Linked DNA regions of Sus scrofa. The protein of the gene in region 1 interacts with the protein of each later gene in a biochemical or structural test. Links are inferred from orthologs where the notes say so. Each region holds a gene or a part of one and is shown in the gene's direction. Other genes may lie near its edges.

The links.
Region 2: the proteins of PPP2R1A (region 1) and AKT1 form a complex in vitro, tested with the Homo sapiens proteins (2 studies listed by BioGRID and IntAct, with this or other methods). The link is inferred for Sus scrofa from reciprocal best matches to the Homo sapiens genes PPP2R1A and AKT1.
Region 3: the proteins of PPP2R1A (region 1) and PPP2CB form a complex in vitro, tested with the Homo sapiens proteins (2 studies listed by BioGRID and IntAct). The link is inferred for Sus scrofa from reciprocal best matches to the Homo sapiens genes PPP2R1A and PPP2CB.
Region 4: of the proteins of PPP2R1A (region 1) and DCAF1, one has a biochemical effect on the other in vitro, tested with the Homo sapiens proteins (2 studies listed by BioGRID, with this or other methods). The link is inferred for Sus scrofa from reciprocal best matches to the Homo sapiens genes PPP2R1A and DCAF1.

The regions. Positions count from the first base shown.
Region 1 is NC_010448.4:57,938,904-57,946,489, reverse strand, and holds part of PPP2R1A (serine/threonine-protein phosphatase 2A 65 kDa regulatory subunit A alpha isoform), read left to right. Parts: intron 1-159; coding exon 160-260; intron 261-2,497; coding exon 2,498-2,730; intron 2,731-3,660; coding exon 3,661-3,808; intron 3,809-3,897; coding exon 3,898-4,053; intron 4,054-5,888; coding exon 5,889-6,003; intron 6,004-6,112; coding exon 6,113-6,183; intron 6,184-6,609; coding exon 6,610-6,744; intron 6,745-7,586. UniProt on the Homo sapiens protein: The PR65 subunit of protein phosphatase 2A serves as a scaffolding molecule to coordinate the assembly of the catalytic subunit and a variable regulatory B subunit.
Region 2 is NW_018084979.1:3,041,255-3,048,188, reverse strand, and holds part of AKT1 (RAC-alpha serine/threonine-protein kinase), read left to right. Parts: intron 1-154; coding exon 155-283; intron 284-2,221; coding exon 2,222-2,333; intron 2,334-2,512; coding exon 2,513-2,660; intron 2,661-3,074; coding exon 3,075-3,206; intron 3,207-3,285; coding exon 3,286-3,351; intron 3,352-4,319; coding exon 4,320-4,388; intron 4,389-4,468; coding exon 4,469-4,594; intron 4,595-4,801; coding exon 4,802-4,930; intron 4,931-5,017; coding exon 5,018-5,232; intron 5,233-5,378; coding exon 5,379-5,466; intron 5,467-6,791; coding exon 6,792-6,894; intron 6,895-6,934. UniProt on the Homo sapiens protein: AKT1 is one of 3 closely related serine/threonine-protein kinases (AKT1, AKT2 and AKT3) called the AKT kinase, and which regulate many processes including metabolism, proliferation, cell survival, growth and angiogenesis.
Region 3 is NC_010457.5:54,291,979-54,300,048, forward strand, and holds the start of PPP2CB (serine/threonine-protein phosphatase 2A catalytic subunit beta isoform), read left to right. Parts: upstream 1-3,807; 5' UTR 3,808-4,180; coding exon 4,181-4,282; intron 4,283-8,070.
Region 4 is NC_010455.5:33,745,209-33,753,480, reverse strand, and holds the start of DCAF1 (protein VPRBP), read left to right. Parts: upstream 1-2,723; 5' UTR 2,724-2,872; intron 2,873-5,412; exon of another isoform or gene 5,413-5,466; intron 5,467-8,272. UniProt on the Homo sapiens protein: Acts both as a substrate recognition component of E3 ubiquitin-protein ligase complexes and as an atypical serine/threonine-protein kinase, playing key roles in various processes such as cell cycle, telomerase regulation and histone modification.

The DNA.
Region 1 (7,586 bases):
GCCCGACCCCAGCCTGTGTCTTCATCTCTGCCCGCACAGCGGAGGGCGGCTGCCAGTTCGAGGAGGCGGTGTGGAGCCTGCTTGTTCTGAGCTTGGGCGACGGAGGGGCCGGGGTCAGACCTGGGGCGGGATTGTGACACTGTCTGTCTTGTCCCCCAGACACCATCTACGATGAGGACGAGGTCCTGCTGGCCCTGGCGGAACAGCTGGGCACCTTCACCACGCTGGTCGGAGGCCCCGAGTACGTGCACTGCCTGCTGGTGAGTCTGGAAGTGGACCGTCCCCCGCCCGCCGCTGGTGGGGTCTGGCCCACGGTCCCGCCAGCCTGGGCGCAGGCCATCCCCGTGGAACACATCGGCCTTGGATGTTGACTTGACCCTGGCAGGTCAGCAGTGGCATTTAAAACAGCAGTCACGAAAATGCTGGCATCGGTGATGCCGTCGATCGGGCGTGCCTGACCAGAGCTGGTCCTTCCTGGCACTCTGCACATGAGGCTGAGGTCGGGCTGGGTTCTTCCGCTTAATTGCTGTGTGACTTGTAAGTTTCTTACCCTCTCTGTGCTATGCTTTCCTCTTCTGTTGAGGGTGAGGCATTAACGCTTACCTTAGAACAGACCCAGCAGTGGTCTCAGCATGGTGCTTGCTCTGTGCAGGTGCTGACAGATGTTAGCTGTCATCATGCCCCGTGTGATGAGGTCGTGTCTGCCCTTAGGGTATAGACAGCCTCCCGGAGCACAGAGGGGAGGCAGCTTGTCCAAGGTCGGGTGGCAGAGCAGGGATTCCAGGCGTGTCCGAGTGACGCTTCCCCAGGCCCTGCCTCCCCAGCCTGGGCCGCCCTGTGCTGGGTAATGGCTGGGGACACAGATGTGACTGCTGTTTGGGAGAAGAGACGGGAGGAGGTGCCCCAGTGCTGAATTCTGGGTCAGCAGAACCTAGGGGGAGCTCCGTTCCCGGTTTTCTCTGTTCCTCGGAGCCGTGGGCTGTAGCTGTTGCCTCCGTCCCCCCGCAGTCATTCTGTGTTTCACGTCTAAAGGCACATTTCCATACGTTGGCGTCTGCGCTTGGGATGTTTACAGTTAGTTACTGTCAGCAGGCTTTCTTCCTTTTCGTGGTGCATGAAATAAGGTGTTTGTTAGAATTGTTGGCATCTTGGATTTGAGCAAAGATGGTAGTTTGTTTCCTTCCAAACATTCATGAAGCATTAACTCTAGGAAAATGTGATAATTACCGTGAAATTCTGGTGTCCCGTCTTTCATCTGTGTGCATGTGTAATTTGTAGATGTACACACACAAGGTCATATGTGAATGGGGTAATTTCATACCTTTGACACACAGTAGAACTGTCTAATGCCCTCCTCTGATGCGACGTGATGTGATGTGGTCGCTGGGCCAGCCTGCAGGGGGTCCCTTGAACTCCATGGAACTGTCTGCAGCCCCTGATGCTTGTCACTTTTCCTGAGGAGAGAATTCACAGCTTTTAGCAGCTTCTCAGAGGACTCAGAGCAGAAAACACTGTTGAGAGCCCCACGCCTTCTCAAGGGCCCGGGGCCTGGGGCCAGCCAGGACTGGAGCCCAGGGCGCCTTCCCCGCCCGTTCCGGGTCTTCCCCCTGCGCGTTCTCAGCGAGGGAAACCCCAGTCCTCCCCGTGCTGCCTTTGGGGAGCACGTGCCCTGGGGATGGGTGTCTGCTGGCCCCTCTGGGTCAGGCAGCACTATCCCTTTGCCCAAGGCTTCCCTCTGTTCCCTGCCCGGGCCCAGGAAGCACTTGCGTCTGTGATTGCTTTCCGATTTCCCTGCTGTCGGGCTGGGCTGGACGTCAGACCACTGATCTCCGCATCTTTGTGGGAAGATTAGAATGAGTTGAGTCCCCCTTTGTTAGGTCAGTAATGACTGAGTTCCCGCCCCGTGCTAGGTCTGCTGGGCTCAGGGGCCGCATTGCTCAGCCAGTCACATGTCCCTCCAGGCCTCACGGTAACAAGTCAGGAGGCATGGGCCCCAGGGTGCCCCGGTGGCGTGAGCGCCTGAGGCCGTTGCCTGTCAGCAGCTCTGTCCTCAGCTCTGGGAGGGTCTGGAGCCGGTGGCCAGCTTTAGATCCCGGCTCATGGCTCCCACTGGCGGGGGCAGAGTACCTCGCTGGCTGAGCCTCGGTTCTCTGTTCCTTCAAGGGAAAGCAGCAGCAGCACCTGCTTCATGGCACTCAGCGCGTGAGAGCCTGGAGCTGCGCCCTGGGGAGTGGACGTTCCGGTCGGCACCGGGGTTCCTAGTGCACTTTGAGAGGCCAGTGACGGTTGTGCTCCTCTCCTCAGAAAGTGCCACGTGCAATCTTGGGGTTCGCCCCCCCGAAGCTCCTTCAGGGGCCTGTGAATGTTGTTCTTCGGGGAGTGCAGGCTGGGTGGAGGCTGACACCGGGCGCAGGCCTTTTGGAGGAGAGGAGCCCACGAGGGGAGCAGCGGGGGGCGGGCAGGGGGCTGTCCGGTGACCTCATGTTCCGCCCCCCAGCCGCCCCTGGAGTCGCTGGCCACGGTGGAGGAGACGGTGGTGCGCGACAAGGCGGTGGAGTCCCTGCGGGCCATCTCACATGAGCACTCGCCCTCCGACCTCGAGGCCCACTTCGTGCCGCTCGTGAAGCGGCTGGCGGGCGGCGACTGGTTCACCTCCCGCACCTCGGCCTGCGGCCTCTTCTCCGTCTGCTACCCCCGTGTGTCCAGTGCCGTCAAGGCGGAGCTTCGACAGTGAGTCCTGGCCCCTGGCCCCCCGGAAGGCCACCGCTCCCCCCAGCTTGGTCCCCTCCTCTCCAGCCTCAGCCCCCTGCAGGCCTGTCCAGGGCCAGGTGCCCCTGAGCGCCCCCAGCCAGCACCGCCCCCTCCCTGCCCTCGGGGAGGGGGTGTCGGGACGTGTGGGCGCACGTCCAAGTGCTGCCCTTCCTCATGCTGGACATGGGGGTGCTGTTCTTGCTCCCATGGGTTATTGGGAGCATTAAAAAGAGTTCACACATCTCAAGCGCTCAGGTGCTGCGGGTCGCCGTTTCGGCCTGTCTCGGGTGGCAGGTCGGGTGGGAGGCCTCCCTCCGCCAGCTCCTCCCCCTGGCTTGATGGCCCGGGGCATTCCTCATGGGGTGGATTTGCCTTCTGGGAGAATCAGTGAAAATCCCTTTATTGGGTTAGAGTTCCCCGAGCTGTGTTTCCTCCCCTCCTCTGGGCCTTTCTGTCCATCCGGCGACTCTGAACCACTGAGCAGCAAGCCCAGGCCCTCAGTCATCGCTCGTGCCGGGAAGCTCCGCTCTGGCTGCCCGCTCGTGCTCAGGGATCGCGTGTGCCCACGTCTCTGATCAAGGGAAAGTCTTGGAGTCGCCCCAGCCCTGCACCCTCGCCGAGCATTTTATGTGGTCATAATAATATAATCGGCACCCACCATTCATTACAGACTTCCTGTGTGGGACGGCTGCCGAGTGGCTCAGGCTCATGATCTCGAGGCTTTAAAAGCTCTCGGTGACCCTGTGGGGCGGGTAGGCTGTCAGTCAGCTCCGTTATCTAAGGCTGGGAAGACTCAGGCCGTCCCTGGCCCAGCGTCACCAGGCAAAGCCAGGAGCCCCGGGGCTGCTGAGTCCGTGCTGCCTTGGGGCCCCGGGGAGTCCTCCTCCTGAGCCCCACCCCAACCCCCAGGTACTTCCGGAACCTGTGCTCAGATGACACCCCCATGGTGCGGCGGGCCGCAGCCTCCAAGCTGGGGGAGTTTGCCAAGGTGCTGGAGCTGGACAACGTCAAGAGCGAGATCATCCCCATGTTCTCCAACCTGGCCTCTGACGAGCAGGTGGGTCTGCCCCCCGCCCCGCCCCCGGCGGACCCCGAGTCCCAAAGGGGATCGCGGGGCTGATGGCGCCTCTGCCGCCCTCTCCCCAGGACTCGGTGCGGCTGCTGGCGGTGGAGGCGTGCGTGAACATCGCCCAGCTCCTGCCCCAGGAGGATCTGGAGGCCCTGGTGATGCCCACCCTGCGCCAGGCTGCGGAGGACAAGTCCTGGCGTGTGCGGTACATGGTGGCCGACAAGTTCACAGAGGTACCTGAGGGGACGTTGCCAGCATCTCAGGGACGGGGCAGTGCGGCTGCAGGGGAAGGGACCTCGTTCAGGAGCGGGGTTTGCTGAGCCCTGTGGACCCGTCGGTGTTTAAGAAGTAAGGCCTCTGTTGTCACTTCGTTGGGTCCCACTTGACTTGCCCACCCTGCTGGGTGGGTGGGGCAACTCGGGGTGCTGTGGGAGAGCCTGTGTGTGAGCGCCCCTCAGAGCGCCTCGGAGCCGGTGGCACTTTACTTCCTCCTGTTGCGAGGCCGAGGTCGGAAATCAGAGCATCAGCTCGGCTGGTCTCCCGAGTCGTCTTTCCTCGGTCGTGGATGGCTCCCCTCCCCGGCCTTTGCCGGTGTCTGTGTCCTCGTCTCTCCTGCCCCTGTGGACTCGGGTCGCTCCGGACTCGGGTGCACCCTCAGGAGCTCGTTTTCCCCTGTCACTTCTCGAAAGACCTCTCTACAGCTGCCGTCGCAGTCGGAGGTCCTGGGGGTTAGGACTTCAACCCGAGACTTGCAGGGGGATGCGGTTCAGCCCCCTGACCCCGGTCAGTGTGACACCAGGCCGGCGGGCTGGGCGAGGTCCCGCAGCTCCCAGGACAGCACGCTTTCCTCGGAGACCCCAGCTGGCTTCTCCCACAAACACGTCTGCGGAGCACCAGCTCTTTGCTGGGCGCTGGGGAGGCAGTGAATTCAGCACAGCCCGGCCTCCAAGGTGCAGGCAGCCTGAAGGGCAGGATCAGCTGGACAGAGGGAAGCATCTCGATAAAGTGTCCCGGGGGCTGAGGCCGGCGGGTGGATGTGGGCGCGGAGGCTCTGAGAAGAGGAGGTGGTGCCCCAGCAGGTTCTGGAAGATGAGTGCACGAGAGCCGGGCTGGAGGACGTGAGCCGAGAACAGTCAGGACTGGCTCTTGGGGCTCGAGAACACTGGTGAGATGGGTCTCAGGCCCTCAGGGTCGGTGCTCCTTCCCTCAGTCGGGAACCGCTCCGCCTCCTGCCAGGGCTTCGGGAAGCAGTTGTGCCGCAGAATCCACGCGCCTTTTCTTCCTGGTGCTGTGAGATGGGCGGTGGTGGGCAGCTTGTGTGTCTGCTGCCCTCTTAACCATTATATGTTCACTTTAATTACACAAGTAGCATGGGTCCAGTAACCAGCTTTGAAAAGCACAGATGTGATTCAAAAAGAGCCAGGGAGTTCCTGCTTGGCTCAGTGGGTTGTGAACCCCATTAGTAACCGTGAGGATGCAGGTTTGATCCCTGGCTTTGCTTAGCGGATTAAGGATCCTGCGTTGCTGTGATTGTGGTGCAGGCCGGCAGCTACTGCTCCAATTGGACCCCTAGCCTGGGAACCCCCACACGCCGTAGATGTGATCCTGCAAAGCAAAAACTGAGAGCCGCCTTAAATCGTTAGGCTCCTTCTGGATCAGGTAACAGAAAACCCAGCCCTGAATGACCTGCAGAGTAAGGCGATCTCGTTATTTCTAACGTAGGTAACATGTGCGGTTAGGTACCCTTGCAGTCCTCGTGTTGCTTTTGAGGAAACAGAGGCTCAGAGAGGTGTAGCCACTCCTCCAAGGTCACGTGGGTGATAAGTAGGAGGAAGAATTTGAGCTGGGGCTTGGACTCCAGAGCCACGCTGGTGACCACTGTGCCATTGGCCCAGCTCAGCACCTTAGGAGGAGGGAACTGAGCCTCAGAGTGGCTCGGCGACTTGGCTGAGGTCAATCCCCATGGTGCTGGGATTAGACCTTCGCAGCGATTCCAGGGGCCTCGCTCTCGGCCAGTTCTCATTCACCTAGAGAACCGCCAAGCCCACTCACTCCTCCCTTCCTGCAGCTCCAGAAAGCAGTGGGGCCTGAGATCACCAAGACGGACCTGGTCCCCGCCTTCCAGAACCTGATGAAAGACTGTGAGGCCGAGGTGAGGGCCGCAGCCTCCCACAAGGTCAAAGGTTGGTGCTGGCGAGCAGAACACAGCAAGTGGGCGGGCGTCCAGGGGGCTGAAGGCAGAACCAGGCCCTCGGGTCTCACCTCCTGCCGCCTCCCTTTCCCTGCCCGCAGAGTTCTGTGAAAACCTCTCAGCCGACTGTCGGGAGAATGTCATCATGACTCAGATCTTGCCCTGCATCAAGGTATCGGGGACTGGGGGTGGAGGGGGGAACTAGAGCAGATCTAAGCCTTCGGGGAGGAAGGGTGGAGGTGAGGCTTTGGGGGCAGCCAGGTGCAAACCGAGCTCCCAGACTTCTAGGGCCAGGCAGGCTTGGGTTGGGGCAGTGAGGAGCCCTGCGTGCAGACTCTGGGCTGAGCGTAGGGGTGAGAGTGCTTCTCTCGCAAGCAGAGGTCCCTGGGTCTCCTCATCGGAAGGGTGGGGGCGGGGGTGCTGGGAGCAGGGTCGTTGATCTCCAGGCAGGCTGGACACGTGAGGACCTGCAGTTCTCCCTCTGCACCAAGCCTGCTCTGGGAGTGAGCACAAAAGCAGGCCGAGTCTAAGTCTCCATAGGAGTCGGAGTCTCCTTAGCCACTCAGCCCGCGGCTTCCCACTTCCTTCTCCCTCCCAGGAGCTGGTGTCCGACGCCAACCAGCATGTCAAGTCGGCCCTGGCCTCGGTCATCATGGGCCTTTCTCCCATCCTGGGCAAGGACAACACCATCGAGCACCTGCTGCCCCTCTTCCTGGCTCAGCTGAAGGATGAGGTAAGGGCACCAGCGAGGCCCTGAGCTCAGGGTGGGGTAAGGGCACCAGCGAGGCCCTGAGCTCAGAGCCGCTTTCCCAGATCAGCCAGGGATTTACCTCCTAGGACCTTCCACCAGCACCCACATTGTCGCTGCGTTGCATGTTTGTGGTCGTGATGGGCTGCATGTGAGGCACCTGTTCATCGGGCATCTGTTCATCATCAGGCATCTGTTCATCAGGCATCTACTTATTAGGCATCTATTCCTTAGGCATTTATTAGGATCTGTTTATTAGGCATTCATTTCACCTGCCCTTATTCTGCACTAGACCTCTGTCTCGGCATTGGGGTTACCACACAAGGAGTAAGACGGGCTTGATCCTCAAAGACCTTTGGCGGCGGGCTGTGGAAAGGGACATATGGGTTCCCCATGGCTCCCTGGTGATACAGGTGCTGTGCTGTGTTCATGTTTATCGGCGTTCAGGCTGAGATGCTGTCATAGAGGCCCCAGAATACAGTGGCTTAACCGAGGCGGAGGACTACTTCCCTTCCAGCGATCCAGAGGTGGGGTGGGCCTGCGCTGGGGCTTAGCCCTGCCGACCTCAGCACCCTGTGGGTCTCAGGTGGCTGCTCTGACTCTCGCCGCCTCCCAGCCAGTGGGAAGGGACAGGGCAGCCCACAGCAGCGGGCCTTGTCCCCTTGAGAGTAAGACCCGTCTGTTTTCTGTTCACACACCATTGGCCAGCGCTGTCCCTTGAGTGACCACACCTCACTGTTTACTTGGCCTGGAGCACAAAAGAGGAGAGCGAGCACCCCGTGATGGCTGGCGAGGGCGCGGGGTGACAGCCGGTGCGGGGAGGAGGT
Region 2 (6,934 bases), on another chromosome or scaffold:
CGAGGTGGGCGCTCTGCCACGCCGAGCCCTGCCTCCTGCCTCCCCTCTGCTCGCCCTGGTAGGCGTCAGGGTCTGGGCGTCGAGTTGGGGCGCGCTGGGCGGGGCGCGGGGCGCGGCGGGCGGCACAGGCCCTCACGGCGCGCGCGTGTCGCAGGCGAGTACATCAAGACGTGGCGGCCGCGGTACTTCCTCCTCAAGAACGACGGCACCTTCATCGGCTACAAGGAGCGGCCGCAGGACCTGGAGCAGCGCGAGTCGCCCCTCAACAACTTCTCCGTGGCGCGTGAGTGGGGGCCCCGAGCCGCCCGGGGCCGGGGCCCGCGGCCCCCGGCCGCGGCAGAGCTGGCGGGGCTCTGCCCGCGACGGCCCTGGGGCCCTGGGGCTGCAGGACGGGGGGCGGGGGGGGGAGGGGGCGGGGGCGGCCGGCTTCCCACTCCCCAGCGCAGGGTCTCAGACGCCCCGGCCCCCCACCCCCGTGGTGGCGCGTGGGCTCCGTGCACAGCCGGGGCCGGGCGTCTCAGACCTGCCGAGCTGACCCAGGGCTGCTGCGGCCTTGTCCTGTGCCCGCAGGGGGGACCCAGGCCTGGAGCCCCACAGGGGGGCGCTGCCCGGGGCTGGCCCAGGCTGTGAGCCCAGAGAGGGTGCCTCTGGGTGTGGTCGGAAGGGCAGAGCACTGCCTTGGCTCTGCCCCAGGCGCCTCCTCAGGTGTCCCCATCCGGCGGCTGGCTCTGCCCTCTGGGCCACGTGCCCTGGGAGCCCGGGGTCCTCCAGCTCCCCCATCCCACTATGTTCTGGTCCAGGGTTTCAGAGGGGCCTGTCCCCAAGCCGACGGACTCCCAGCCTCCGGGCCCCCAGAGGTGGGGCCGTCCTGGTACGGGAGCCCGTCCTGGCGCAGGGGCACAGCCAGCATACCCCACTCCAGGGCGCCTAATGGGAGGAGCAGAGGCCCTGCCCTCCGAGGCCCCAGCCTGGGGGGCTCCTTTTGGGGGTGCTTTACTAAGGCCCCATTCCTCTGGGCCCTGAGCGCTCCCTCCCCCGCCCCCACCCGGCTCCTTAAGTCTCAGCAAAGCGGCGGGTAGAGTAGGGACTGGGTGAGGGGAGGTCACGGAGGCAGACACCTGCCCCAGCCGCCTCAGGGCCCATGGGAGCCCCCCAGGAAGGAAGTTTGGCTATGTGGGGTGCTGCCTTACTGGGCAAACGAGGCCCCTTGGGAGCGATTCCCAGGCTGAAATGCCGGGGAGTGGGGACTCTCAGGGGTCATGGGTGGGGGCACCAGCCAGAGGGGCTTCCTCGGCGCTGGGCGGGGCTGGGGCCTTGAACCAGGAGCAGAGCTGGCGGGAGGGGGAGGCGTCTGTGTGGGGCCTCTACACCAGGGGCTCTTCCTGGTGGGGAGGAGTAGTCGGCCCTGGGCTGGGGTGGGGTGGGTGTCAGGCACCTTGTCCTGGGAGCGGCTGGTGGGCTCCAGTGGGCTGAGCACGTTGGGGAGGGGAACCCAGAAAGCTGGCCACAAAGCTTCCTCCGTCCCCTGCCCACAAGGCTGGGCGCCAGCCCCCCTCCCGGCCCCCAGGCCTGGCAGACCATTCCTCGCTCCCTTGAGCTCTCGGCGGAGCCTGCCTGGGGCCCCTCACGGTTGCCAGGGCCTGGACGCTGGAATGTCAGGCCCCTGCGCGGGCCCCACGGCCCCCTCCGCCTCGCGCGGGCTGGGCCAGCATCGGCCCCTCTCCAGGCCTGGGGCGCCCCCAGGTCCCGGGCTGCAGGTGTGCCCGCGCTCCTGTTAGTACGGCTCCTGTTAAGCCGCGTGTGCCTCCGGGGTGTGGGCCTCAGAGGGGTGGGGGGAGACAGCCCCGGCGGCCTCCAGGGAGGACAGGCGGCCTCTTCGAGGGTGAGTCGCCTCCAGCCTCCGCGTGGGACTGGCCTCGCGCCTGAAGGGGGGCGGCCGGGCCGCTGTCCTCGTGTGCCGGGGAGAACGGGGGCCAGCTCCTGTCCACGCGGGTGCCTCCGCCCTGCGGGCCCCTCCCCAGGGCCCCAAACGCCTCGCCTTCCGGGGGGCTGAGGGCGGTGGCCTGGCCGGCGGAGGGGGCGGGGAGTTGTTGGGAGACTGAAGGAAGGCGCCCCAGAGCCCCCCCCCGCCGCCACCGGGCGCCTCTGAGCTCCGAGCAGGGTCCCAGCTGCGGGGGGCGGGAGGGGGGGTGCGGATGGACATGGCCGCTGCCTCCACCAGAATGCCAGCTGATGAAGACGGAGCGGCCGCGGCCCAACACCTTCATCATCCGCTGCCTGCAGTGGACGACCGTCATCGAGCGAACGTTCCACGTGGAGACGCCGGAGGAGCGGTAGGCGCGCCCTCCCCACCGCTCCTGGCCCCTCGCAGCCCCCGCGGGCCGGCCGGCCCCCGTCGTCAGCGGGGTCAGCGGGCCGTGTCCCTGGGTCTCCGTGGGGGCTCTGGGCTGGGGCTCCCGAGGCGGGGAGGCCCGGGCCGGGTGGGGCTGGGGCCTCACCGACCGCCCTGCAGGGAGGAGTGGACGACCGCCATCCAGACGGTGGCCGACGGGCTCAAGCGGCAGGAGGAAGAGATGATGGACTTCCGGTCGGGCTCGCCCAGCGAGAACTCCGGGGCCGAGGAGATGGAGGTGTCCCTGGCTAAGCCCAAACACCGCGTGGTGAGGCCCCGCCCCTGCTCCCAGGGCTCCGTGGTCACAGGTCCCCACAGATGGCCCAGGAGAACCTTGGCCCTCGGGTTCCGACCGCCCAGAGCGCCGGGTCAGAAGCGAGGGAGAGGGGTTTCCTGGCGGCACAGGGGGTTAAGGATCAGGCGTTGTCACCGCAGTGGCTCGGGTCAGGAACGGCCACGTGCCACGGGTGAGGCCAGTAAAATTTAAAAAGAGGGAAGCGAGGAAGAGACGCTGGATTCCAGGAGGCCCGGGCGCCACCGCTCCCGCCGCCCCCTGGACCCCGTGGACATCCTGAGCCCCCCGGCTGTGTTCAGCCCCGAGGCCTCTGTCCCCCTCACCGCTCTCGGGCGGCCAGCAGCCCCCTGCCGCCCCCTGACCCCGGCGCCGGCCTGCCACCCGCAGACCATGAATGAGTTCGAGTACCTGAAGCTGCTGGGCAAAGGCACCTTCGGGAAGGTGATCCTGGTGAAGGAGAAGGCCACGGGCCGCTACTACGCCATGAAGATCCTGAAGAAGGAGGTCATCGTGGCCAAGGTGGGGGGCGGCCCGGGGCCGGGGGCGGGCGGGCGGGCGGGGCCGGGGGCCGGGCGGCTCACGGGGCCCTGTCTCCCAGGACGAGGTCGCCCACACGCTCACGGAGAACCGCGTCCTCCAGAACTCTCGGCACCCGTTCCTGACGGTGAGTCCCCCGGCCCAGGGCGCCCGCGCGGTGCTGGGGTCCGGCCGTCCCTCACGCCAGCCCGTCAGACCTCAGCCGGCCTCCTGGAGGCGCGGGCGGACGTGCCCGGTGCCGGGCCGGGGGGGGGGGGCTGTGCTGGTGGGCAGCGGGTCTGGCCCTCCCTCCGCCTCCCCGCCGGGACCCTGGGAGGCCACAGCCCCAGGCCCACCCTTCCTCAGGGCCTTCCCGGGCTTCCCCTGCCCTGGGGGAACTCAGCCCCAGGGGGTGCATGGAAAACCCACAGCCTTGGGGGCAACAGGGAAGAAGCCGGAATTGTCTGCTCCTGGAAGCCGGGGAGAGGGTGGTCAGGACTCGGGCGGTGGACGACGTGTCCCTGGGACCACCGCGGGCCTGTCCCCTCTGCTCGGCACCATGTCCTCGCGCCGGGGCAGGGCCTGATCCAGAGCAGCGGCAGAGCAGAGAAGCGGTCCTGCTTCTGGCGATTTCGCCTCTCAAAGGATGTTCTCTCCTGAGAAACGGCAGGCGTTTTTGAGAGCCGGCCAGACCCGCTCATTACTGTGGCTTTGTCTCCTTTGCTTCATGCCGCCCTTTGCCCCCGTCTGGCTGGAGGAGGGTGAGGAGGAGGCCAGGCTTTGTCACGCCCTCCGCCCCTCGGTGGGTCCACGCGCCAGCCGCGCGCCACCCTGTCCTGCAGAAACCGCGCTGGGTCCCGGGGGGTGTGGGGGCCCAGCTCCGGGGAGGGGCCCCGGGCCCGAGGCCCGAGGTCTGCGGCCGGCCGGCCGCTCGCAGCCGCGTTCTGCCAGGGAGGCGCTCGCTCAGCGGGGGCCTTTGTTTGGGCTTGAGGTGCCAGGCGGCCGGGCCTGCCCTGCAGGGGACAGGAGAGCTGCCGAGATCCCGGCCGGCCCACGTGGGGCAGCCGGCGTCCCCGCGCGGCTCTGGGCCGCGTTCCAGCGCTGCTTCCCCTGCAGGCCTTGAAGTACTCCTTCCAGACCCACGACCGCCTGTGCTTCGTCATGGAGTACGCCAACGGCGGCGAGGTAGGGCCTGGCCCCAGCGCGCGATGCCCGCTGCGGTGGCCGCCCGCCCCGCTCCCCCCTGAGTTCCGGTCCGTCCGCAGCTCTTCTTCCACCTGTCCCGGGAGCGGGTGTTCCCCGAGGATCGGGCCCGCTTCTACGGCGCCGAGATCGTGTCGGCCTTGGACTACCTGCACTCCGAGAAGAACGTGGTGTATCGGGACCTCAAGGTGGGCGGGGCCGGGGGCGGGGCCGGCCCGACACTCCTCCCCCCAGGCCGCTGCCGCCGCCGCGGTGCCGGGACCGCGGGGGGCGGGGGCGGGGCGGGGCCTTGCTGACCCCGCCCCCAGGCCGCCACTCGCGTGCCAGGGGACCCAGGCGAACGGAACCCCAGGCGGGTTCGCGGAACGGGCTGACTCCGAGGCCGCCTCGCGCAGCTGGAGAACCTCATGCTGGACAAGGACGGGCACATCAAGATCACTGACTTCGGGCTCTGCAAGGAGGGCATCAAGGACGGCGCCACCATGAAGACCTTCTGTGGGACGCCCGAGTACCTGGCCCCCGAGGTGCGTCCGCGTGTCTCCGGGCCCCCCGCCCCCCCCGCCCCGTCCCTGCGGCCTGAGCGCCCCACGAGCCCGCGCCCATGTCCCCAGGTGCTGGAGGACAACGACTACGGCCGGGCGGTGGACTGGTGGGGACTGGGCGTGGTCATGTACGAGATGATGTGCGGCCGCCTGCCCTTCTACAACCAGGACCACGAGAAGCTCTTCGAGCTCATCCTCATGGAGGAGATCCGCTTCCCGCGCACGCTCAGCCCCGAGGCCAAGTCCCTGCTCTCAGGGCTGCTCAAGAAGGACCCCAAGCAGCGGTGGGCGCCCCCTCCAGCCGCGGGCTCAGCCCCGGGGGCCCCAGGGAGGCTGCCTGTCCCCCGCTGCCCGAGACCTCGTGGGGGAAGGGCCGAGCTCTGGGCCGGGCAGGAGGCAGCCCCCGTCACCATGGCCTCGTCTCCCCCAGGCTCGGCGGGGGCTCTGAGGATGCCAAGGAGATCATGCAGCACCGTTTCTTCGCCAGCATCGTGTGGCAGGATGTGTATGAGAAGAAGGTGCGTGGGGGCCTGTGGGCCGGCCCCCCCCAGCCACACCCTTACTCAGGCTCTCACCTCCACCCCCACACGGTGGCACACCTGCACACACACGCTTACACGCACATCCACTCACACACCTGCTCCCACCCCCACCCCTGCTGGCACACCTGGTCTCACACACCCTACACCTGCACACACACAGGCTCACACCTGCTCACACACCTGCACACACACACCTGCTCACCCACACGTGAGGAGGCCCCTGAGGAGCGAGGCAGCTTCTTCCTAAACATGTGCCTCTGCCCGTTGCCTCTGAGGGACTCGGGAGCCCCAGGCCCTGGCCCAGCAGGCTGGGGGCAGGAGGGGGATGTCCCCGGGCTCGTTGACGTCCTGTCACAAGCACACCTCGCCCCCATTTCCAGTCTCCCTCGCCTGCAGGCCACACGCAGCCGGCTGGGCCTCTAGCCCCTGAGAGATGGGTGCCCCACCCTGCTCAGCTCCAGGCCAGGGGCCTGCCCTCTGGGGGCTGCAGTGCCCACCCTGTTGGTCCCTGCTAGTTCCCAGGGCAGCCCCACCCCCAGGCCAGGGCCCTGGTGGGGGTGGGGTGGGGCGCTTGCTTCTCCCCCCAGCCTGGCCCCTTACACTTGGCCTCTCATTCCGCGTCGTTGGGAGTCCTGCCTGTGGCCACGCTCAGGGCCACTCTGCTACCCGGGAGCTGCGAGTGAGGCACCAGACTCCCTCCGGTGGACCCCTGAAGGACCAGGCCCCCCGAGGGGAAGCGGGCAGGGGAGGGCGGGGCCCCATCCACATCTCCTGGGCGGGGCTTGGGCATCGCATCCCCCTCCCTCCCCAGGGCACCTGGTGGGGTTGGCACAGGCCCTGGGCAGGGGGCAGTGGCCGGCTGCTCCGGGGCCCCCTCCCGGGTGGCAGTGGGCCCCCGAGCCCTGCCCTCCCCTTGTCTGGCATTAGCCTCTGCAGCCTGGGCCTGCCGGCGGTTTCTGAGACACCCGGAAAGGAAAATAGGAGCGCTGGAGAAAGAAAAGTGGCCAGGGCCCCTTCTGCCCCGGGGGTGGGGTCCTCGGAGCTGGGCTGCACTGCCTCCTATCACCTGCAGGGGCGCCGTGACACTGCTTGCGGGCTCTTGGTTGAGGGGCACCCACCTAGGCCCTAGGTGGGTCCCCTCCTGTGCAGGTCTCCTTCCAGAACTCTGCCTGTGGGTGGGGACGGCTGCCTGGACACCGTCCCCTGGGAGACAGGAGTCATTTCCCAAGCCAGGGGCACAGCTCCCTGGGGGCCGTGGTCCGGGCGGGTCCGGGTCTGTAACCCAGCCCCCCTTTCCGCAGCTCAGCCCACCGTTCAAGCCTCAGGTCACGTCCGAGACGGACACCAGGTATTTCGACGAGGAGTTCACGGCGCAGATGATCACCATCACGCCGCCCGACCAAGGTGAGGGCCGCGCCTTCCCCTCCGCTCCCCCGGGCGCGCG
Region 3 (8,070 bases), on another chromosome or scaffold:
AGAAAAGTATCAACATGAATGTACAAATTTATAACTATTTAAAACAGGACTCTCACTTTCAGGAGCTCTAAGAGAACTGCCTCTTCCAGTCCTTTTTTTTTTTTTCCTTTTGGCTGCACCTGCAACACGGAGAAGTTCCAGGCCAGGGATCGAACCCATGCCACCGCAGCAACCATGCCAGATCTTTAAACTGCTGCACCACAGGAGAACTCAAAACTGTCTGCTCCAAAACAACTATACCCAGGACAGGAGATGTTTTTCGAGGCTTCCATAGTCTTGCAAAGATAAGATAGGTCTCCACAGATTAAAAAAAAAACAAAAAAAAAGTGTGAATTTAACCCTGAATAAGGAGACCTGAGGCTGGAGTGGAAAGAACCTGGGGCTTGAGCCATCTGAAGGGTTGAGAAGACTGGATGCTTTCCCTGCTGCAGACCGCTAAGGTCATATAACATTAACCATGAGAGTGGAAGTCATACTCAGGTGTTAATCCATGCTCCACCAGTTACTGTGAGATGTGAACACATTTTTAAATCTTTATGGGTCTGTTTCCTCATCTGTAAAATGGTGGGTAATAATGGCACCTGTGTCATAAGATTATTGAAGGATTAAATACATTTAAAACACTTAGACCTACTGTATAGCACAGGGAACCGTATCCTATCTCTTGTGACAGAACATGATGGAATATGAGAAAAAGTATGTCGGGAGACACGTTTCTACAATACTTTCTTAACCTTTTTGCTGAAAATTACATCTTGTCCTGCTTTACTTTACCCCATATTCCTGCTTGAAAAACAGTCACAGTGCTGGCAAATGAGTTAAGCTTAAGAACAAAGACCTAAAGGCATAAGTTATTCATATGGTCAGCTGAATGAGGACACAATGTGTTGGTCTAGGCATGCCGGACCTGCGCAGATAGGCACACCATTTGCACAGCATATGTCCTCTAAAGAACAAGAGGAAAATGAACCTCATGGCCCCAAGGGGTTTATGAGGGGTTGTTAACAGGATATGCATTAGCAAGGAGAACCAAGGTGCAAACCTAGGTAGCTGGGTTGCTGCAGATAGGCACACTGTCTGCAGAAGCACAATGGTGATTCTCTAGATGCTATGCATAGATAGTTGATGCCAAGCTTCGTCAATGCTAATGATTGTTAAATGCCTAAAGGTCAGAATAAAAGCTTAACCAGCTACAGGCTATGTGACTTTTAAAATGGTAAAAAACTATATCCTGCACCTACAACCCCCTCATCACTTGATGTAAGCCTAAAGAGCACAATAAAAGCAGTGTGGTTTCTTGAGGCAGCACTCTTGGTCCCTGAGACCTTGAGTCCCCTGGTTCCCACCTTTAATTAAGGTAAATGTCTCTGTGTCTTGTTTTGTTTTGTTTTGTTTTGTTTTTTGTCTTTTGTCTTTTTGTCGTTGTTGTTGTTGTTGTTGCTATTTCTTGGGCCGCTCCCGCGGCATATGGAGGTTCCCAGGCTAGGGGTTGAATCGGAACTGTAGCTGCCAGCCTACGCCAGAGCCACAGCAACACGGGATCCGAGCCGCGTCTGCAACCTACACCACAGCTCACGGCAACGCCGGATCGTTAACCCACTGAGCAAGGGCAGGGACCGAACCCACAACCTCATGGTTCCTAGTCGGATTCGTTAACCACTGCGCCACGACGGGAACTCCACTGTGTCTTGTTTTACGTTAACTTTCTCTTAAGTTTCACAGCACCCGTTCTTCAGCCCTCACCTACCCTCAGCTGCTGAGCTGGTCTCAGCAAAAGTATATATATATATGACTGGGTCACTTTGCTGTACAGCAGAAAATGACACAACATTATAAATCAACTATAATTTAATAAAAAAAAAGAAATATTTAAGAAAAAACACTTAGGAGTTCCCATTGTGGCTCAGAGGGTTACAAACTTGATGTAGCCTCTGTGAGGATGTGGGTTCAATCCCTGGCCTCACTCAGTGGATTAAGGATCTGGTGTTGCTGTGGCTGTGGCCTAGGGCTCCGATTCGACCCCTCACCTGGGAACTTCCATATGCCGCAGGTGCGGCCATTAAAAAACAAACGACAAAAAAAAAAAAAAAAAAAAAACACTTAGACAGGAAGCACTCAGAAAACACTCTTATTTGCTCTATAGCATAACTTGACTAAACTTTTCAGAACCACTATTCTCACAAACACCTCCCTACTCTCAAGTCTAAAAACATTCTCTCATGTTAATTCCAAATACATCTGCTTCTATGTCGAGGGACACCCACCCCCAACACTATCCATAGTTCCCATTTCTTCTCAAGACATATTTTCTATTCTCAATCCATCTTCTCTGGGAACTTTGAAAATATGTTCTTACTCTCATTTTCATTCTGAACTTACCAGGTGTAGCTGAAACAGCCTCCTTTCAACCTTTGTAGACTAGCCTCCTCAGAGACTGCAAATCTATTGCAATCTTACAGATACCCCTCCTATTCTGTACGTATTGTTTTACCACCTTTTCATGTTCTGTCTTGCAGTTGGTTTGCTGCTGTTTACAAGACACTTGAGAACAGGAGCTCTTCCAGCCTTATTTTCCACCATAGGACCTATTTCGGTTATTAGGAGTATTTGTAGCTTTCCAAAGAGACCATGGTCTTGCACACATTTGTTCTCCGCCACTTTCCAAAAAAAAAACCCAAAATCCTGAGAACTCCTTTCCTCTTTTCCAGGGAACTCCAAAGTGTTGCTTAGGGAGAAGGTTCAAAATTCAGTTGAAATGCCACCTCTCTCAGGGTTTCCCTAGTGGTCCAGTGGTTAAGACTCGGCCCTTTCGCTGATGCTGCTGGGGTTTAGTCTCTGGTCTGAGAACTGAGACCCCGCAGCAAACCACTGCAAAAGGAAAAGAAAAAAAATGCCACCCTTCTAAAGTTTTCTGTAGCTATTGCCTAGGAGGGATAAGGCAAGAAACAGAGGAACATGGCTCCCAAACTCTACTGTTGGATAAGCACTTGTAGAATTTAATCATGATAACCTGAAAAGGGCTTATTGCCCCCTTTTAACAGATGATGAACTTGAGGCTGGGGGAGCTTTGGTGATTGTCCAAGGACCTGGCTGGGAGGCTAGCAATGCCAAGAGGGAGCTGGAGGGAGTTCTTGCCTTCAGATACAAGAGGCTGCCTCCCATTTGGGTTCAGTGGCAATAATCTGCAACTATAATATAGGAAGTCAACTTGGTAAGCATTAGCTGTTCAAGAGATCTGGCAGTTAGCAGTTGCTCATTAAGTATCTGTTGCATGAACAAATCATGAGAATTCAGTAAACACTGCAGTCAACTCCGTGGAGGATGAGGGAGCTGGGACACTGATTGGTAAAACACAGAGCTGTCATCTCATCTTTCTGATGCTGAAAGGGGGGATTCGAGATGTCAGTGCCTCACAGCTAGTTCATAACAGAGGTAAGACTAGAAAGAATTTATTTTTTTTCTCAACAAATGTTGACCACCTGCTATGGGAGAGTGATAGATTCTGAGGAGACAATGTTGTCAAGGAGGGGGACAAGCTTTCCAATCCCCTCTACAGAACGCTAAAATAAAAAGAAGAAAAAAAGGGGGAAAAAAGCACTGCAGGAAACTATAGTGGGTACAGACTTGCGTAAAATTATGTAAAGAAAGAACTGGGAGAGCTTGGTCGATAAAGTGCAAGATGGAAGGGAAAGGGACCGTTTCTCCGCCGAGCCACACGGGGGCGCTGTACCCCTCCTCGAGTCCCGGGCTCCGGCGGCACCGCCTGCTAACCTTTTCCCGGCGGAAATGCCCGGGCGATGACGGAAACCCAGAGGGAGGGGAAAGAAAGAGCGAGAGAGAAGGGGCAAGGGAATCCAGAGCAGCGGGCGGGCGGGAGGCGGCGGCGGCGGCAAGTGGCCATAATCCGGCGGGAGCTGCGCGGAAGTCCCGCACCTCCCCGCGCCCTCCAGTGACGCCCAGGGCGCGCGGCCCGGCGGGCCAGGGCGGGCGGGGGTCTCCCGAAGGCCGCGCGCCAGGAGCCGCCCGCGGGGCTCGGGCGGGGCGCGGGGTCCGGGGCCGCGCTCCCCCACTCCTTCCTCTCCCACTGGGAGCTGGCGGCGGCGGGCGAGGGGAGCGGCGCGAGGGGCGAGGGCGGGCGGGGAGGGGGGCGGGAGACGGCGGGGGAGGGGCTCGGGTCGCCATGGACGACAAGGCGTTCACCAAGGAGCTGGACCAGTGGGTCGAGCAGCTGAACGAGTGTAAACAGCTTAATGAGAACCAAGTGCGGACCCTATGCGAAAAGGTAAGAGAGAAAATTGGCGAGATGCGGCCGGCGTGCGACAGGCTGGGTGGGGGCTGGGACCTATCCTCTCCCCTCTCCCTCCTCTCCCCTCCCCCCTCCTTCCCCTCCCCCTTTCTCCTCCCCCCCTCCCCCCCACCTCTTCTCCTGGCCTGCTTGTCCCTTGTCCGGCGCGTCCGTCTGGGACCTGCGGGGCTGCGTCTCCCACTCGGGCAGCCTCCCCCGGGAGGAGCCGGGCTGTTCCTGGACCCCCTGGAGACCCAGCACCCGGCTGGGGTTGGAAGCTCCCAGTCCTGGCCTAAGGGGTCCGGGGTAGGTGGGCGGGGGCAACGTGGCACCCGGAATCCACTCCTGGAGTGATTGGGGCGCCGACTGTTTTCTGGGTTTTGCTGACACTCCAGTATTTCCGTGCGGACTAGCAATCCGCGCTTTAGCTGGCTGGCAGGGTAATCTAGGCAATCTCGTAGTTGAAAATGAACCTGGACGTTGTGAATCTCAAGGCCCTTGATATAATAAACGTAGCCGTTTTCTCAGGTGACTCGGTCCTTCAGAAATCATCGAGTTGAAATGTATCAAGCATTTGTTTATAGAGAGGTGGGTGTGATGGCGGACTGTGATTTTTAAAATAGAAGTTGACTTTGGTTGAGACAGATGGTGACTGGTCTTCTTCAATTGAGAAGCTCTCTGGAAGCAAAAATGTTGATTTTCAGAAACAGGACGGCTAGTCTTAAGTTTGGCAACACTGCTTGCATGAAATGATCAATGGGTACGTGTTTTACGTGCAGGGTAACACTTTTCAGAAAGTTATTTCTATTACATATTTAAGTTGTTTTTTTCCAAAAAGTAGTAAAATATGCAGGCAATTAACTGTTTACAGTCGCTGTTGATTGTGTGATTTTAGGCCACTTTCTGAGTCCTATATTCGTTGTTTTCTTAACCTCGAATTATTTCAGATTTTACAGTTTATTTTTCTCATTCCACCTTTTTTTTGGCCTAAATAATATTAATACATTTTTATGTAAAAAGGTTCATATGAAGGAGTAACAAAGTTATTTATTCTTTAATGCTTTTGATTGGTTTGTATTTTTAAGCCATGACCCATAAGACTTTCTTGATCATTGTGTTTGTAAGCCGGGATGCCTCCGAAAAGCATTGAAGAAGGAAAGATTTTGTCAATGTTGTTTATAGCACACCCTTAAAATTAAGCATCTTAGGAATGGAGGAGTAATAGCTGTTTTGTTGTTGTTGTTTTCCTTTTTATGGCCGCATCCAAGCATATAGAAGTTCCCTGGGCCAGGGGTTAAATCTAAACTGTAGCTGTGGAGTTAAATCCTTTAACACATTGAGTGGGCCAGAGATCAAACCTGGACCTCTGCAAAGACCTGAGCTGCTGCTGTCAGATTCTTAACCCACTGCACCATTGTGGGAACTCCCAAGAATAGTGTTTTTAGTTACATGTATTGTTGCTTAGGGTCTACATACATATGTAACTTTTTAGAATTGAGGTATAGTTAATTTACAATGTTGTGTTAGTTTCAGGTATACAGCAGTCACTCAGTTACACACATATATGTGTATTCTTTTTCAGATTTTTTTTCCATTATAGGCTATTACAAAAATATTGAATAAAGTTCCCTGAGCTGTACAGCACATTTTTGTTTTTACCTGTTTTATATATAGTCGTGTGTTTGTGTGCTCATCCCAAACTCCTAACTTACCTCTTCACCCCCTTCCCCCGCTATCCTCTTTAGTAACTATAAGTTTGTTTTCTGTATCTGTGAGTCTGTTAAATAACTATTTGTTAACACAGGAGTGTATTTCTGTAAATAGAACTGCCAAGCAAATGGTATTTTTGTTTCCCTGAAACAGGCTGTTTACTTACCACTTCAAGTTCCACATTCAGTTTTCTTGTGTGATAACCTGTAATTTCATGTCTTAGAATTTACATTTTAATTCACGCTCTCTTAGGCTCCAGTGTCAGGTGAAACATTCAGTTCTGAAATTAGCTGAGTCAGTTCACCTCACTGTGAACAGTAGATAAAGACTTGAAGTTATGGACAAAGTTGGCAGTTGAATCAGTTTTTCCCTTTAATTCTCTAATAAATTTAAGATGTCTTCTGGAGAAGAATATTCTACCCCTCAACCACACTTGAATCCTAATCACTTGAGGAAGCTTTCTGTGTTTGTCCAGAGAGATTATTTTAACTTTAGCTCCTGAATTGAACTACCAATCCCTAGGACCTTTGAGATATATCTAACCTTATGTCTTACTTTTTTTCTTTGAATATTTGTACTTGCCCACTAAGCATGAATTTTTAAGTGAAAATTCCCAGTCATTTGTCTTGGTCCTCCACCACCTTGATGGATTGCCAGTGGACTGGAGAAGTGTGACGGTGGCAGCCCCTTGGCAACTGTGGCGAATCTCTGTGGTACATGTATTCTGTCTTCTCCCTTAGTCTAGAGTTCCATTTTATATCCCTACTTCTGCCCTCCTTTTTCCTGCCAAGTGCAGCGTTTGTTAATAATGAACTCTAGTAGCCAGCCAAGTTCAAATCCTAGCTCTGCAACTTAATAGCTGCCAGTCTTTTGGCACCTCTGACTCCTACCTGTAAGACAGACAGAAGCACAAAGTAATTTTGTGAAGTAACTGTCTTTCTCACTTGGTCTACTTAATATTTGCTCTACCCTTCCAGGTCAAGAATGATAGGCATGTAGAAAGAATATAAGAAAAAATTAAAGGTCATACTTAATTACAAATATCTTTTTAATTCTTTGTGACTAGATTTTAGGGGTTTTTTAATATGATTTTGTGGAATCTATTAGCAATATTATTGTATAGAAAGTTAACATCGTATGGTGGTGATTTCTCCCTCAAAATTAAATTCCTTTTTTTTTTCTTTTGTCCATGCCCTTGGCACGTGGAAATTCCCACTCCAGGGGTCAAACTTGAGCCACAGCAGTGACCCAAGCTGCTGCAGTGACAACACCATATCCTTAATCAGCTGCACCACAGGAGAATTCATCTTTTTTCTTTTTTCTTTTTTTTTTTCTTTTTTGGCCACCCCTTGGCATATGGAATTCCGGGGCCAGAGATCAGATCTGAGCCTTAGTCGAGATCTACACGGCATCTGTGGCAACGCTTGATCCTAAACTCAGTGAGCTGGGCAAGGGATGGAACCTACGTTCTAACCCTCCCAAGACACCACCAATCCCCTTGCACCACAGCAGGAATGCCTTCATTTATTTTTTCAAACAGCTCTTTACTGAGTGTTTATTATGTTCTGGAGATACAGCAGTGAACGGAACAAAAGTTATCTCAGAAGCTAACTCAGAGAAGTCAGCTGAAATTGAGACCAGAATGGTACTGGGGAAAAAAAAGCCTTATTTTTAGGTAGTGGCAAAAGTAAAACCCATTCTAATGCCAGTTGGAGAATAACTACCAAAAATATGGGTTTGAGTAGCATTTTATGTTTGGTCATCTAGGTGAATTTCTGTCTAGAGAAAAAATGTTTGCATAAGATGGTTAAGACATGCCTTCCAAGAAGACTACTAGCTCTGAATGAATTTAAGTTAGCAGTCCAGCTTTTGAAGCTGATTGTGCACTTGACACCTCTTCTGTGCGTAGAGAGATTATATCTGCGATTTGTTCCTGCAACAGCAGTGTGCACAGTAATTTAGAAAGGTGGTGTGCCCGGAGAGCCGGGTTGGCACCGAACGGGACATTTGGTGACCAGAACTATATTTAATTCTTGGTAGAGTCTCAGGAAGAGAAGTTTTTTGACTCAACGTGA
Region 4 (8,272 bases), on another chromosome or scaffold:
TGCTCCAGCTTTCTAGGGGGCTAGAGGGGCTCCTAGGAAGGGGGAGGGTACCAAGTGAATGATTAGAATTCCCTCTTTTTTTTTTAACAATTCCTCTTTGTCCAGGTTGGGGGTCCCCAGAATCTGGAAGCCCCGAGCCTCTTTGGTGGCTCCTGTGACCCTGGACACTTGCGGTAGCAGTCTTGTTCAGCCAACAGTAGAGTGATAGTGGGTGTGGGACAGAAGGAGACACAGGAGTTATGGCAGCACCAGAGTGGGGATGGGCTGATGGTAGCACCTGGGTAAGATGAGCCTGGAAGTAAGTGATCAGAGAGAAGTGGCAGAAAAGTGATGAGAGGAGTTGATGCAGAGGGGAAGAGCATCCTGAAGCCCAGAGGACTTGATGCCCCAGAGTATGGGCAGGAGTGGGGAATGAGGGCAGGATGGAACATTCCTAAGCCTGTAGACCTTGGTGCTTGGGCCAGGGCTGGGCCACTCCTGCCCTTCCTCTGTGACTGGGCAGCCCTCAGGCAAGACTTCTTGCCCATTTGGATACTGGATGCTTCTTTTTGAGACATACCACAGGGAAAGATGGACACAGGCAGAACAGAGAGAGAGAGAGTCCAGAAATGGTCTTCCAAAGAGGCCAAGGAATATTTTTCCAATGACTCAGGCATGATGTGCCAGACCAAGCTGGGTGTGTGGGCCTGATTTATCTGGAGCTTTGTGTTTGCACATACTTAGATGTCAAAGTGTTGGCTGTGAGGAGTGGTGCCAATGCACAGGAGTGCATGCTTGTATCTCTGACACATATGCCTGGCCTGTGAAATGTATCAATGAGCATGCTTAAAATGTATGTACAGCCCCGATAACCTGAGTGCAGTCTCTTCCTCTTCCTGGGGCAGGAGTCTGGGAGTGCCTGCAGGTATGTGGCTCTGTGAGTGCCTGTGTGTGTGTGTGTGTGTGTGTTGGGAGAGGTAGGAGGGCTACAGGCATTATAGAACAGAGATTCTGGAAGGAGAGGTTGCTGGACAGGGCCTGTGTAGCTAGCTCCTGTTCTACTTCCCCAGCCTCCTGGGCCCTGGCTCCTCCATAGGCCCTCTGGAATACCCTTTATTCCCATCATTTACCCAGGGTCCCAGGCTGATTTTCTGAAGGGGAACAGTGCCATCAGGTGGCAGGTTGGGGATGTGCCAGGAACAGGAGAGCTGGACCCTGGGTTCCCACGAGGGCTCTCTTCCTTTCAGGATTTCAGTCAGTGGGGAAGTCACAACCACACTGGTTACATCAAGGACAGAGGGAAAGTTTCTAAGTCCTAAATGCTCCATCCTCATGCATTTTGGGTTCAGAGCCCAGGGAGGCATGGCAGGAAAGTCAGCTGAAGGAGTCAGCTGAAGGAGGATTGATGTAGGAAGTTATGGTCCAGGCTCTCTGCACCCATGAACCTGGGCCCCATTCCTTGGGCCACAGTCTGGGCTCAGATTTCTCATTTGTATAGGCGGCTAACTGTACTACCCTGTGGGGTCCTAGCGGCCATTACTGAGATCAGCAAAGTTCCAGAACCACAGAGACAGAGAGTTACAAGACATGAAAGAGGTGCAGAGAGACAGAGGTGCAGAGAGAAGACACACTTCTATAGCACTGCCACCCATCATTGTAGAATTTTGTGCCTGAGTAGCTGCTTCAAGTTACACACTGAAGTGAAGGAGGGAAGTCTCTTTCTGGAAAGAGGGCAATGGGCTCTGGTGGGAAACAGAATCAAGAGACCCACCATCTAGGCTCTTGCTAGTTTCTTACTAGCTATAGAACGTGAGCATGGCAGCAGGCTTGCTATGTTCCATGTTCCTCATGTGAGAGTGCTGACTGTGAGAATTCCATAAAAATGTACAGAAACTTGCTCAGGAACTCCCAGAAATAAAGCCTTGGTAGGATCTTGTCCAGGAGAGATTCTGCTTACCCATGGAGCTACATTTCTCTTTCATGCCTCCAAAAAAGAAATCCAGTGTCAAAGAAATCCAGTGTCAGAGTCAGGGGTCGCTCTGGTTCTGCGGCTAACTGGTTGTGTGATGTTAGTCATGTCACTCAGTATGACCTGGTCTCTCTTCTCCCACCTGTAAAATAAAGGAATTAAATTAGATGGCTTCTGAGGTCAGCCCTGTCTTAATCTATGTCTTTGGTTTTTTTTCCTTTTCTCTGCCTCACATATAATACCTAGGATGAATATTTATTGATCCTACAGGCAAGGTCTTAAACAGAAAGACAAAGAAAAAAACAGAGCCTTCTGTTAAATGAGTGCTGGCATTTCACATATACTTTGGGAAATACTCTTAGATCCTGGTATATTCTAGGTATAATGGGGCAAATGAGAGAATAAAGCAAAGGCCCTTGTCACCCAGGACCGAATAAGATACTGAGAGGGTATTTAGCAATTAGAGCCTAAGCTTGGGAGGATCGGGTCTTTCACTTCACGCTTCCGGTTTCCTGAGTAACCAATGAGTATGTAGCAGTTCGCGTTTACGCTAAAAACTACACTTCCCAGAAGCCAATGCGCGGGGGCAAAGTGCTCGAACGCCAATCAGGATTAGCGGGCCCCTCCCATAGAGGCGGAACTCCATTTCCCAGGCGGCTCTGGGGCTCGTCGATATTCCTCCGCTCACCCTGGCCTTCTCCTCCCGCCTTCTGCCAGGGAGCCTCGCGCCAAGTCGGGAGAGGCGCGCGCGCGCGCGCGTGCGCGGGGTACGTAGCACGCGAGTGACGCATAATATGTGGGCCGCTCTGGAGCCGTGGTCGCACTGTGTGTGAGTGAGGGAGAGTGAGTGCGGGACCTGAGGCTGTGTGTGTGAACTGTGGCCACTGGCGGGGTCAGGGGGGTGCGGCGGAGCCGCCTGGGAAGGTGAGTAGAGAAAGGAGGGAGACGGCTCTTTCGGAGTGGCGCGAGGAGACAGGGCGCCGGGCCAGGCGGGCGGGAGAGTGGGCGCCGGACTGGGGGAGGGGCGGCACCTGCCTGGGCCGCCGGCGGAGAGGGGGCGGGCCGAGCCTCGGGGGAGGCTTGGTCTGCGGCCTGACAGGACTTTCTCTCCTCCCGATTCTTGGCTCAGGGGCGGGGCTTTCACGTTCTTGCTCCAGCCGGCAAAAGAAACTTCCCTAGAGTAACTCTTCAGCCCAGAGTAGGGGGCAAGGCTGTGCCCGCCCCTACCTGGAGGAGGGGCGCCTCTTATTTCCCTCATCACCTTTCACCTTCCAGTCCCCCCCGTCTTCCTCCGTACGGACTGGGGGCCTCCATCTTCCTGCTGTACGCCCCCCCCCTTTCCTATACTGTCTCCGCCTCCAGCCACCTGGGAGGGCTTTCCCCCTTCCTCGGCCTCTTGCCGCCTCCCCCGGCACTAGCTGGGCACCGTAATGGGTCGAGGGGGCGGAGCTCTCCTGGCACTCCTCCCACTCCCATGGTGGAAGGGAGGGGTGGAATGAGATGTGTGTGGGTCCTGCAGCTTGGAGCCAAACCTTGGAGTACCCGCCAAGTTTCTCAGGAGCCTGTTTCTGGGGGTTATAGTCGTTTTTAACTGGGTGTCAGGCGTTTGGCTTAACTCTCTCTTCCTAGACGGTTTTGGTCTCACTTCCTCTTACTGCATGTTAGCACTCGGGTTTCGCTTGTGTTGAAGTAGTTTTGGAGTGTTTGTAGTAGTTCTTTTTGAGTCCCAGCTGACTTGTCCTTGTCTATGTCACGTTGGCCTCAATTTTTCTTACGCTGTCTTTTCAATGAAGGATTTTAATTAGCCTACGTGTTTTAATGATTATTAGCAGCATCTTCGTGTTCTAAAAGCTTTTTAATGTACAGAGTGAGAGGTTCATTGGCATTGTTCTGTAATTTTCTTGTCCAAGTTTACGGGAGTTTACTTTTAAGGTTTATGTGAACTTGTATAGTTACACTCTTTAGAAATCAATTTGTATTTTTTCTACTTGATGCTGTCAAGATTTGGCCTTTGTATGTAACAGTTATTGTCCATTTTCCAGTGATAGTGTATTTTTGGATGTGAGATATTAGATACAGAATTTGGGAGCTAGAATGGAAATCCTTTTATGTTCAAAATCTCTTGAGTAATTGCTGAGCACAGTGTTTTACTATTCTGTCTGTTGTCCAGTAGTATGAAACACATGTTTGAAGTGATCGAAGTTGGTTTGTTACCAGTTTTCTTATATTTCTGTCATGGTCATAAAAAGTAATAGAGTATTGTTATACATGTTCTTATATGTTATAGACGTAATTAGGTAAATTTTACTCGAAGCTCCAAACTTGGGTTTTTTTTTTTCCCAGTTTTTTTTTTTTTTTTTTCAAATAAGGAAGAAGGTGTACAGACATTTTAACCTTATGGGATTTTACCCTTGTGGGATCTATCCTTAATGAGTACTTTTTTTTAGGCTTTGGGATAGTTTCTGCAGAACAGTCCATTCAGTATTGTGTATTAGAGGTTCACATATTTTTTTGGTTTAATTTAAAAGTTACAGAAGATAACAAAATAGTGGAAAAATGGTGAATCTAGAGTAATAACAGTGAAAAAAATCTTTCTCCTACCCTTATCCCTTAGAAAGTCAGTTACCTGCCGCAAAAATAATAGTTATTATCTGTTTTTTAAAAAAAATTTTTAATTAAAATTTTTTTTGACTGATTGTGTGGAAGTTCCTGGGCCAGGGATCAAACCTGTGCCACACAGTGATCTGAGCTGCTGCAGTGAGAGTGATAATGCTCCACTGCGCCACAAGGGAATGCCTATTATCTGTTTCTTATGAATTTTTCCAGGACACACACACAGACTTTTCTCACTTGACAACATTTTGAGAGTTGGTCCAAATTAGGAAAGAAGTTCCTGTTGTGGCACAGCAGAAATCAACCCAACTGGTGTCAGTGAGGATGAGGGTTCCATCCCTGGCCTCACTTGGTGGGTTAAGGATCTGGCATTCTCACGAGCTGTGGTGTAGGTCACAGACACTGCTCACATAACGCCTAGCCAGCAGCTCCAGGACTGATTCGACCCCTGGGCGGGGAAATACCATATGCCCAGGTGAGCCCTGAAAAGCAGAGAAAACAAAACACAAATCAGGAAAGGAAATCCTTCCTAGTTTTTTTTCTTCTTTTTAATTAAAAAAAATTCGGGCGTATTAAAAAGTTGAAAGAATAGTAAAATGAATACTTGTTTATCCATCTAGATTCAACAGTTATTATTAATATTTTGCCATATTTTCTCTTATAGGTGGATATGACGTACATTTATTTTTGTGGAACCATTTGAAATAAATTTGCAGACACAGCACCCCTAAATACTTTGGCAGACATCCTTTAGGATAAGGACTTTCTACATATTTTTTGTGGAAATTTATGTTATTCCATTTTATGGACAGTCTTATTTAATCCTCATGACAACCATTTCCATTTTACAGATAAGGAAATTGAGATTTGGAGAAGTTAAATAACTTGACCAAGATCTCACAGAGGTATGTTGGCAGAGCTGGGATTTGAATGCTTGAAACCCCTTTCTACCAAGTACCAATCGATTGGTCTTGGGGACCTCTCTGAGCCCCTTTCCTTGTCTGTAAAAACAGGGGCATATTGGTTATGGAAATTCAGAATAATGTCAGTAAATTACCTAAACAAGTGTTTATCTTATACTAATTTTCACAATTCGATAACTATTGTGTCACTGTTGGACAGGCCATAAATTCTGCATACCACTAAAACAACTCACTTTGAAACATGGTGATTTGAGTAATGTATCTTCACTGTCTTGTCCATAACAAGATGACTGCACCTTTTGCCTTTTGTTAGTAGTCTGTCATAGATAGTAAAATGAATTATTGGTATTATTATTTTTGTCTAAGTTTATATTTCCCTGGGCACGTGATTATTCTCAAAGTTATAATTATTCTTAGGCATAGTTAGTTGGAAATTTTGAAAATAATACCAAAATCACGTGTGTGTCTAAATTGAACTGTAAAATATTACTATTTTAATGCCCTTGAATTGATCTTTTTTAGACATAGTATTTTCTTTAAACTTTGCCTTTATGTGTTCTACTAGGCTGATTGCTTAAGTTAACCAAGAGGCATTCTCTCCTGGACCATTTTTCCCATATTAAAAAAAATGTGTGAGTTCCTTTGTGGCACAGCAGGTGAAGGATCTGGCATCGTCACTTCTGCGGCTCTGGTTGCCACTGTGACTTGTGTTGGATCCCTGGCCCAGGAATTTCTGCATGCCGCAGGAGTGGCCAAAAATTTTTTTAAAATTTTCATACGATAAATTAACCCCTTTAAGGTGCATAATTCAGCTGCATATATTAGATTAACAGTGTTGTACAACCATCACCTCTTTTAGTTCTAAGACATTTTCATCACTCCAAAAGGAAACCCTATGGCTATTAATCACTCACTTCTTATTTCCCCCTCACACATACCTCTTGGCAATCACTAGGCAGCTTTCTGTATATGGATTTATCTATTCTGGGTGTTTTGTGTAAGACTAAATAGAATCATATGATATGTGACCTTTTGTATATTTTTTTAAAGCCTAGCATATTCTTTTAAAAGTTCATCCATGGGAAGTTCCTATCATGGCTCAGTGGAAACAAATCTGACTAGTATCTGTGAGGATGCAGGTTTGATACCTGGCCTTGCTCAATGGGTGAAGGATCCGGCGTTGCCATGAGCTGTGGTGTAGGTTGCAGACACAGCTTGGATCCTGCATTACTGTGGCTGTGGTGTAGGCCAGCGATTACTGCTCCAATTCTACCCCTGGCCTGGGAGCGTCCATATGCCAGGGGTACAGCCCTAAAAAGACCAAAAAAAAAAAAAAAAAAGTTTATCCATGGTTGTAATGTACCTTCTTCCTTTTTTTTTTTTTTTTGTCTTTTTGCCATTTCATGGGCCGCTCCCGTGGCATATGGAGGTTTCCAGGCTAGGGGTCGAATTGGAGCTTTAGACGCCGGCCTACGCCAGAGCCACAGCAATGCAGAATCCAAGCTGCACCTGTGACCTACACCACAACTCACCGTGTCGCCAGATCCTTGACCCACTGAGCGAGGCCAGGGATCAAACCTGTGTCCTCATGGATGCTAGTCAGATTTGTTAACCACTGAGCCACGATGGGAACTCCCTGTACCGCCTTCCTTTATGTGGCTGAATACTATTGCATTGTATGAATATAACCACATTTTGTTTATCCACTCATCTCTTGGTGAACCTTTGGGGTTGTTTCTACATTTTGGCTCTTGTGAATATGCTTTGAATATGTGTGTACAAGTGTTTGACTATCTCTTTTCAGTTTTTTGGGGCATATACCTTCGAGTGGAAGTGCTGGGTCATATGATAAATTTTTTTTTTTAACTTTTTGAGGAGCCATAAAATATTTTTATATACTGCTATACCATTTTACATTCCTATCAAAAGTGTGCCTTCCATTTTTTTCCACATCCTTGCCAATGCTTGTTATTTTCTGATTTTTTGGTTTTGGTCATCCTAGTAGGTATGATTGTGGTTTTGATTTTCATTTCCCTAATGGCTAATGATGTTGAATACCTTTTATTTACTTATTTTTCCTTTGCCTGTGGCATGTAAAAGTTCCAGGCCAGGGATCTAACTTGTGTCACAGCAGTGACCCGAGCAGATCTTTAATCTTCTGCACCACAGGGGAACACCTGGTGTTTGAATATGTTTTCATGTACTTGTTGGCAATTTGTATGTTTTCTTTGGAGAAATGTTTATTCAAGTTCCTTGCAAATTTTTTTTTTTTCTTTTTTGGCTACCCCAGGCATATGGTGTTCCCACACCATGGATCAGATCCAAGCTGCAGTTGCAATCTAAGCTGCAGCTGCAGCAATGCTGGATCCTTAACCCACTGTGCTGAGGATTGAACCTGCATTCCAGCATTGCCAAAATGCCACCAATCCCATTGTGCCACAGTGGGAGCTCCACTTTGCCCGTTTTTGAATCAGTTTTTTTTTTTTTGTTGTTGAGTTGTGTGAGTTCTTCATATATTATGGATACTAAATCCTTACCAGATACATGGTTTGCAAATATTTTCTCCTATTCTTTGGGTTTGTGTTTTCACTTTCATGCACAAAAGTTTAAATGATAAAGTCCAGTTTATTCTTTTGTTGCTTTTGCTGTTGATGTTAAATGAAAATCCCTTGCCAATTTCAAGGTCATGAAGATTTACCCTATGTTTGCCTCTAAAAGTTTTACAGTTTTGAGCTCTTACATTTAAGTCTTTGACACATTTTTTTTTTTTTTTTTGTCTTTTTGTCTT